2 linked regions of the Callithrix jacchus genome follow. The protein of the gene in region 1 interacts with the protein of each later gene in a pairwise test. Links are inferred from orthologs where the notes say so. Each region holds a gene or a part of one and is shown in the gene's direction. Other genes may lie near its edges. The genes, in order: CCDC158 and GPSM1.

Evidence for each region.
Region 2: the proteins of CCDC158 (region 1) and GPSM1 interact in a two-hybrid assay, tested with the Homo sapiens proteins (2 studies listed by BioGRID and IntAct). The link is inferred for Callithrix jacchus from reciprocal best matches to the Homo sapiens genes CCDC158 and GPSM1.

The regions. Positions count from the first base shown.
Region 1 is NC_133504.1:121,635,513-121,639,901, forward strand, and holds the start of CCDC158 (coiled-coil domain-containing protein 158), read left to right. Parts: upstream 1-1,589; 5' UTR 1,590-1,715; intron 1,716-2,199; exon of another isoform or gene 2,200-2,330; intron 2,331-2,790; exon of another isoform or gene 2,791-2,852; intron 2,853-2,911; exon of another isoform or gene 2,912-3,079; intron 3,080-4,389.
Region 2 is NC_133502.1:184,802,532-184,806,786, forward strand, and holds the start of GPSM1 (G-protein-signaling modulator 1), read left to right. Parts: upstream 1-1,395; 5' UTR 1,396-1,504; coding exon 1,505-1,572; intron 1,573-4,255. UniProt on the Homo sapiens protein: Guanine nucleotide dissociation inhibitor (GDI) which functions as a receptor-independent activator of heterotrimeric G-protein signaling.

The DNA.
Region 1 (4,389 bases):
TTAAATTGACTGAGTCTTAATTGCCTCCTCACAAAGGCCAGCCACCATTTGGATTGGCATTAGAAGGGACACTGGTTCCTTGAGGGCAGAAACTAGAGCTTCTTTGTATCTCCTCAGTGCCCAGCACAGGGTCTAGTGCAGAGTAGGAACCAGTTGAGGAAGACACAACAACCTTGGACCTAGGTGTTGACTCTTAACTAAAGAGCTCTTGGTGACTTGGGCCCTAAATAACTACAACACCCAACCTCTGCTTGTTCAGCCACTCTGCTCAGTCCTCACTGGCCTCTGGGTTGATTTTCAAACACACCAAGCAAATGCCTGAAAGTCTCTGTCTCACAATATCCACACAGATCCCTCCTCCCTGCCCTACAAGTCTCCTTTGAATGTCAGTTTATCAATGAGGCCTTCTCAAGACTACACTATGAAACGTCAACCCCACACTCCCTAACCTCCCAGCTCTGTCTCCACAACACTTATCCCCATCTGGCATATTTGAACTCTATCCATGCATTGCTCATCTTCCTCTACAAGAATGTAAGCACTACAAGGGTAGGGACTTATTGTTCCCTGATTTATTTTCAAAACCTACGAGTAGCATGTGGCAGGTCCCCTGTAAATATGGGTGGAATTAGTGAATAGAAAAGGATTTTGGATCCCTTTCTTGATCTTTTAATTCTTGATTTAAAAAGCTAAGAAGTTGTTTTTAAAACAACATTTTTAAAATGTTGTAAGGTAAAACTGCAGGACACTTCAAAATGCAATGGACTTTATAGTAAAATCGGGGCACAAACTTTTCGTACATATCTGTGGGTGCAGATAATTTCAAACACATCTTTTAATTAAAGACTTTAAAAAGACAAAACCCTTTTTGTGTGTGTCCAGGGTACAAGCACAAAATGAGACACCAATGGTAACCATATATTAGGTATTGAAAATATTTTTAGGTCATTGGAACGCTCATGTTTTGATAGAAAAAGAAAAAAATACACAATTAGAAATTGCTTTTTCTCTAACCACAAAACTTAATTTATTTACCTTTCTATGTAATTCTTATGGTTTCATTTCCTGTTTAATGTTTGAGTCTATAGGTAATCTTAGATCTCTCTGAGCCAATGAATGGATTACAAAGACATGATAAACAATCTTTAATGGCATTTAATCTATTTTTATTAAAATTTGTCATTACATTATGTAATGTAGGACTAATATTTCTTTTTCTTTTCTTTTTTTTTTCTTTGAGACGGAGTTTCGCTCTTGTTACCCAGGCTGGAGTGCAATGGCGCGATCTCATCTCACTGCAACCTCCGCCTCCTGGGTTCTGGCAATTCTCCTCCCTCAGCCTCCTGAGTAGCTGGGACTACAGGCACGCGCCACCATGTCCAGCTAAGTTTTTTTTTTTTTTTTTTTTTTTTTGAGACGGAGTTTTGCTGTTGTTACCCAGACTGGAGTGCAACGGCACGATCTCGGCTCACCGCAACCTCCGCCTCCTGGGTTCTGGCAATTCTCCTCCCTCAGCCTCCTGAGTAGCTGGGACTACAGGCACGCGCCACCATGTCCAGCTAAGTTTTTTTTTTTTTTTTTTTTTTTTTGAGACGGAGTTTTGCTGTTGTTACCCAGACTGGAGTGCAACGGCACGATCTCGGCTCACCGCAACGTCTGCCTCCTGGGTTCAAGCAATTCTCCTGCCTCAGCCTCCCAAGTAGCTGGGACTACAGGTGCGGCCACCATGCCCAACTAATTTTTGTATTTTTAATAGAGATGGGGTTTCGCCTTGTTGACCAGGATGGTCTCGATTTCTGGACCTAGTGATCCACCCACCTCAGCCTCCCAAAGTGCTGGGATTACAGGCTTGAGCCACCCCGCCTGGCCTAATTTTTTGTATTTTTTTTAGTAGAGACGGGGTTTCACCATGTTGACCAGGATGGTCTTGATCTCTTAACATCGTGATCCACCCGCCTCGGCCTCCCAAGGTGCTGGGATTACAGGCGTGAGCCACCACACCCGGCCCAGGACTAGTATTTCTAGTCAATTTATGTATAAGTTATTTTGTCATAGGTGTGCACAATGTGATTGCTAGAATTAAATGCCTCAGCCTGCATCTATCAGACCCTGGCCTTTCTGGATGCCTTCCATTTGATCGATAATTTGGGCAGCACAGAGACGCTGGGTGTGCTTGCAGAAATTGATAAATTCTCTATTAGAGATAACGACAGAGAGTAACTGAAACACAGCGGCGGGAACAAGTCTCCAGAGGCAGAAGTGTCAGCTATGCCGAGAACACGTATGAACTTGAAAAACATTCGGGGACAGAGAAAACAGAGCTGTAAAATGTGAATTCTGTTAACTTGAAATGGTCAAATGGGAATGCCAGGAGTGGGAATGGGGGTGGGGTGGGGGTGTCAGAGGAGGAGGCCCGACGGGCAACGCCAGATTGGGCTTGACTCTTAGTTAAGAGTGCGGGACTGGTGCGGGTCAGTGGGTTATCTGGGAAACCACGGTGGGGACAGCTGCGAGAGTGGCCCAGGGCACTCAGGTGGGGGCAAGAGTAGGGCTAGAGACCAGTTAGGAGGCAGCAGGAGGAGCGGCAGAGGGCGCCGAGTGCAGGCCCGAAGCCAGGGTAGTTTCTTGGACAGGGCTCTAGGATTTGACCCCGGGCTGGGTTCACCCTGCTCCCAGAGGGCGCCGGGGCGGTGATGGGGACTCTGGAGCTCCGTTGCCCCGGCGGAGTCGCAGGCGCGTGCGAGTGGTCCCTACTGGGCAGCGGCCGAGCACAACCCCCTTCTCTCTTACCCCCCACCACGAGGCCTTGCCGAGAGTCCCAACGGTCCCAGAGCGCCACCGCCGCGAGGAGCGACGGGCGCGGGGGAGGGGCGCGGGCAGCTTCCGGCGCCGCCGCCGCCGCCGAGGAGGAGGAGGAGGAGGAGGAGCCGCCGCTGCCGCTGCCGCTGCCGCGGGGCCTAGGGGCGGAGAGTGGGGAGCCGCCGCGTCCCGCCGCCCGGTCGACGCAGGTTGGGCCGCCGTGCCGGCCGGCGCCCCGCGGAGATGCGGCGGGTGTCTTAGGATTAGGTGTTAGTAGCAGGTACAAGCGGGGCGCGGCCCGAGACCGGGATGGTGTGGTTGGGGTGGGGTTCTTATGAGGACCGGGAGGGACTCGTGTTCATTTCTGGAATCTTCCAGTGCTTCGTGTTTGTTTTGCACATGGTAGATGCCCAATAAATTGTTTCTTTACTGGAATGAACTGCTGTTGTTTTCCGGGATCGCCAGACCCCTGGGGACTGTGGCGCTGGAACCTGGACCTCGAAGAACACAGAGGCCTATGCAAAGTGATTTGATTTGTGGGGAAGAGAATCACCAAGTAACCGGCCCCAATGTGACTTTTGACTCCGTGTGTACCGCGCAGTGCAAACAGCGGGAGGAGATGGGGAAGACTTGGTGGTAAAGGGGACAGACAGCCTTGCCTACAAGACGGAATGGTGTTAAACGCTGGCGCAAGGGCCCTTTGAGCTTGAGCCCTGTCTTTAAACCACATGTGGGGGTCAGAGCTTTCCCCCATTAGCAGCCCAATTGAGTTCTGAAAAGTCTCCATCTTTTTCCACAACACTCTGCCCCAGGCCCACTCAGGCTGCTCCAGGTTTTGTTTGTGCCTCATGTTGAACTCCAAGGTCAGGGGAAAGTAGAAGTGAGGGTGGCTGTTGCTCAGATTTTTTGACTGTCGACCAGTTCTTGCTGATTCTCTCAGCAGCAGGCTAAGGGAGACAAAAGGACCAGGGCTTCCACATATCCCAGAGACATGCTAGGTAGGACTGTTTCTCTGTGCGGAAGGTCATTGGGTAGGGGTGGAGGCGTGGTGAGAGAGGTGTGGAGGAGTGGTGAGAGAGGTGTGGTCCTCCTTATCTCTGTACTGTGCTTATTGTTTTTAATCTTAATACGGTTATCTTATTTGTGTCATGTGTGAAATGGTTTCCATGCCATGTAGTTAATATATTTTCCAAAATAAATTGAAGACAGCAATTTATTTGTATGTATTCAAAGCCCTTACTGTTGTTGTGCATTTACAATGAGGACTCAGTGTTATCTAGAAAGTCAGAGCCACTTTAGACCTCCATCATTTATTAAACAGAGCCTCTTGTGATCCACCTGTCCCCCAGCTAGACGGCCCCAAATTATATGGTAGGCTGAATAATGGCCACTCAAATATATCAGATCTAATCCCTGAAACCTGGGAATGTTACCTTATAAGGGAAAAGTGCCTTTGCATATGTAATTAAGTAACTTGAAATGGAGAGATTATCGTTAATTATCTAGGTGGGCCTTAAATGCAAACGCAAAGGTCCTAAGAGAGAGAGAAGCAGATTTGATACAGGCTGGAGAGAAGGTGGTATGACCACA
Region 2 (4,255 bases), on another chromosome or scaffold:
CAATGGCAGGCCGCTCTCTGCCAGCAGCCAGCCCCACTGCCCCTGCCAGCCAGCAGCCTCAGCCCAAGCTGGGAGGGAGCAAGGCCCTGCCTGGCTTCTGTGGTCTTTGGGGGAGGGCACGTGGGCCCAGCAGCCAGAAGCACCTCGAGTTGCGCTCCAGGGCACAGATGGTTCTCATTCCCACTGCCTCCCTTACACAGGAAAAACAAACCAGCCTGGGACCAACAGACCCCGTTTTAACCTCGTGTTTATTTTCCTTGCCTGCCTGAAGCCACTGTCCCGTGGGTGGTGTTTGCTGAGGGTCTGGCCAGGGTGGCACTTTCCTGACCTTAGAGCAGCTCTCTCAGGGAGGGGCTCCCAGAGGAGGAGTGCAGCCCATTTCCTGCTCCTGGACTGGTCCCAGTCACACCTGGGATCACAGCTGCCTTTCAGGGGCCTGGACCCCTGAAAAGGCCCCAACACCCCGAGAAGGCCCAGGATGGGGTGGGGAGTGGACACAACTGGGTGAGGCCGGCTGCGGGCCTGGCTGTCTGAGGAGGACCCCTCAAGCCATCAGGAGCTGAGGGTGGGTGGAGAGGAAGCCACAGCACAGCACAGCCCCCAGGGCTCCAGGAATTCAGAGGAGAAGGCGGTGGTAGGGGGCTGGGGTCCCGGGACCCAGGGTAGCCACAGCCTGCTGTGATACCTGCATCCTCCCTAAGCCTCCACAGCCGGGAGGAAGGAATGGGCCGGCTTCATCCCCATTCCAGAGACACCTGGGAGGGGGACGTGGCCACCCAGGGTCTCAGCGGTAGGAGGGCTTACCACCATCCACGGCCAAGCAGAGCCTGTATTTGTCATCAGCGCCCCGGTTTCTCTAAGGCAGGCAGGCAGCATCCCCAGGGCAGGCACCCCATGGCCAGAGGCAGAGTTTGGAGGAGGGGTGCAGCGAGGCGCAGAAGAGGAGGGAGGACCCCCGGGAAAAGGGGGGCGCCCACCAAGGAAGGCAAGGAGGCTCAGCAGCTCCTTTCCACCGCTGGCCAGGCCCGGGCTCACCAGGCAGCCTTGGGTGGAATGAGTCTGAGGCCAGCCGGGCTGCACTGTGACCCAGGGACCCCCGCGGGCGCCCAGAGCCCCCAGGGGACCCGTAGCAAGGCCAGGCCCCAGCCCTCTCCCCTGCACTCGACCCTAGGGGGCTGGGGGCCGCACCCCCCACCCCTTCCCGGGGCACTGCCGGCCGGCGGCGCCCCTCCCCCAACGTCTGCCCCGCCCCCCCCGCAGAGGGAGGTTCTCGGCGGCGGCCGCCGGGTCCGCGCCCCCTCCCCGCGCGGGCGGCGCTGACATCACGGCCACGGCGGCGGGAGGGGCGGCGGCGCCCCGCGCACATCACTTCCTCGGCGCCTCCCCCGGGAGGACAGGCGAACCAGGCGCGGACCGACAGGCGGACAGCGGGGCGGACAGCAGGGCGGGCAGAGGGAGGACGGCCACGGCGCAGGGGGGCCCCCGGCTCCCGCGCGCCCGACCCATGGCGGGCCCGACCCCGTCCGCGGCCGACGAGCTCCAGGGCCCCGCCGCCAGGCGCCTCTACTCCAGGTAGGATGGGCCGGGGCCGGGCTGGGGCCGGGGCTGGGGCCGGGGCGGCCGGGAACCGGGAACAAAGGCGGCTCCCGCGGGCGCGCAGCGTGGCCGGGGACGGCCCCTCCCTCCAGGCCGAGCCCAGTCCGGCGGGTGGCCCGCGTGGGCGTCCCCTGCAGCCCTCTTTCCCCCAAGCCAAGGGGACAGGGGCGGATGTTGGGGGGGGTGCGGGCAGCTTCTCCAGCCTCACTCTCCCAGCAGCTGGCAGGGACACTGTGGGGAACTGACCCCCAAGACTGGCCCTGCCATGTCCGGGGCACTCAGGGACATTATGGCCAAAGAGACTGGCTGTTGTGAATGGGGTTCTGCCCCTCAACATCCCTCCATGATCCCAGTCGGAGCCAGCCAGGTGGGTGTGTACCTGCCGCAAAAGGCACCTGTCCTCCGGGCACATTCCCGTGTGATACAGTGGCTGGGCTCTGTGCCCCACGCCTTGTGGGGATGACAGGATGGCCCTGCCCTAGGTGGCATGCTTGCCTGGTGACTCCCCCTGTTCCCTGAGGGTGCCCTGGGCCCAGCCAGGACAGGTGCCTCATGCTTCAAGTAAGGCTGGGTGGTGCCAAGCCTCAGGCAGAGCCAGACGGCCGGAGGTCCAGACAGGGGCTCACAAATGGGTGGCTGCCCTCAGAGGTAGGCCTGGCTCTCCAAAGTGGGAGGGACACCATTGTCCTCTGGACATCCCTAAATCTGGAGACCTGTCTGATAGGGGTCCCAGATGCTGACCCCTGGGGGGGCCTAGCCTGGCCCCCAAGGATTCTGTGGCCCCAGCCAAGCAGCAAGCCCCTGCCTGGGGCACTCAAAATGTGGCTCTGGCGGCGGTGGACGGAGGCCTTGCTGCCTCTGGTCTGCTCTGTGCTCTGGTCCCAGACACGGCCCCATTGTGTGGTCCTGGATGGAGCGCTGAGTCCCCTAGCCTGGCTCCTGGGCCCCATGCAGGGGAGGGGTGTGAGAGTGTTTTGCTGGCAGCTGCTGCCAGGGGCCTGCCCTAAGGGATTCTCAAGGGTTCCCTCCTTGGAATTGGCTGTGTGGGGCCACATGTGCTCAGGCGGCTGTGCTGTGAGGGGTTGATGGCAGCCCTGGCTGGAGTGCGTGAGTGTGAGTGTGTTACTGTGAAAGTGTGTGTGTGGAGCTGTGAGAGTCTCGTGTCCAGGACCTTAGCCTTGGGTGAGCCCTGCACAACTGACCAAGGGTCGGGCATTCTCCAGGATCCATCTGGAAGCCTGGGGTCCCTCGGGGACACACCAGGAGCCAGCCCTGGGCAGGAGCAGTGTGCTGAGAGGCCACTCAGACCCCAGGCCCAGCCTCACGTCCCCTCAACGGGGAGTCCAGCTGACCTCCAGGGCTGACTCAGGCCCAGACCTGGGGAAGCCCCAGGGGAGTCTACACACCATTACTCGGCCAAAGCCAGGTTTGGGCAGGCAGTTCCTGGTCAGAGCTGGCTTCAGAGGGGCAGGCCTGAGTGCCTAGAGGCGTGCTGGGCCAGTGGAGGCTGTGGGCCAAACCGCAGGGCCCTTTGCTGTCACACTGGGGCTGGAGAGCCAAAAAGTCCCGGGTCTCCTGAACCCCCTGTGCCCTGCTGGTGTGGGTGGTGGGCGGTGGGTGTGGTGTGCCCTGGAGGTGGTTGGCATCTGTGTGGATGCTCCTCATGGGGCCGTACCCCGGTCCCTCAGTGTGGATGTGGCTCCAGGTTGGCCCAAGTTCTCCTCTGCCCCGTCCACCCCCTTTCACGCTGACATTCCTTCCTGGAGAGGGGAGTTCCAGTTTTTAAATAGGGAACTGTGCCTGAAAGACACACTGAGAGGCCATGAACGTGCCTGTGAATCCACCAAGTCCCCAGATGGGCTCAGCGGAAGGGCCCTGGGTGCTGGCTCAGTTGGAACGGTTAGTGCTGAGAACTCTGGCCCATTTGCACGGGGTCCCCCCTGGCCCAGAGCAGGGCTTTGAGGTGAAGGGGCCTGGTGAGGACAAGCCAGAGGCTGAGAAGGTCCCGGAAAGTGGGGATGCCTTGTGTGGTCCTCTCCTGGCCTCCCAGCAGCATTAAGGCCAGCTGAGTGCTCCCCGGGGCTGGGACGGGGAGGGGGCAGTAGAGCAACCCACCTGGGGTGACCCTGTTAGAGGCGCCCTTCAAGCAGCCCTCACCAGTTCCCAGATGGGACATCCTCAGGTGTGGGTTGGCCCCCCAATTCCTCTGGCCACATGACCATGGTACCCCACCTCACTTCGTCCCTCCTCCCTCCTCTGTCCCCCTCCTGGGCACCATCCCTGAAGGCCATGGGCCCTAGGAATTCCTGACAAGCCTGACCCCAGGCGCTTCCTACAGCCTGGTGACCTTCACCTTCCCACTCCAGGGATTCCACCTCCCACCATGCTCCCAACCCAGTCCTTGCCCCTCACTCTCTCCCCTCCCCCGGCCATTGAAAGGGAGCCAGTGTGGTTTTCCCCAGGGGTGTCTGGCTGGGGGGATGGGGTATATAGAGCCAGCTGTGAGCAGGGTCTCCAGCATCTGCACAGGGGCCAGCATGTCTGTGATGGCCATGGGGAGGGGCAGGTGGCAATTCTGTTAGCGGGGCTAGGGCTGAGGGACACAGCTCTCAGGTGGCTGGGGTGGTAGAAGCTGGGGGGCTGGCTTGGAAGCTGGCCT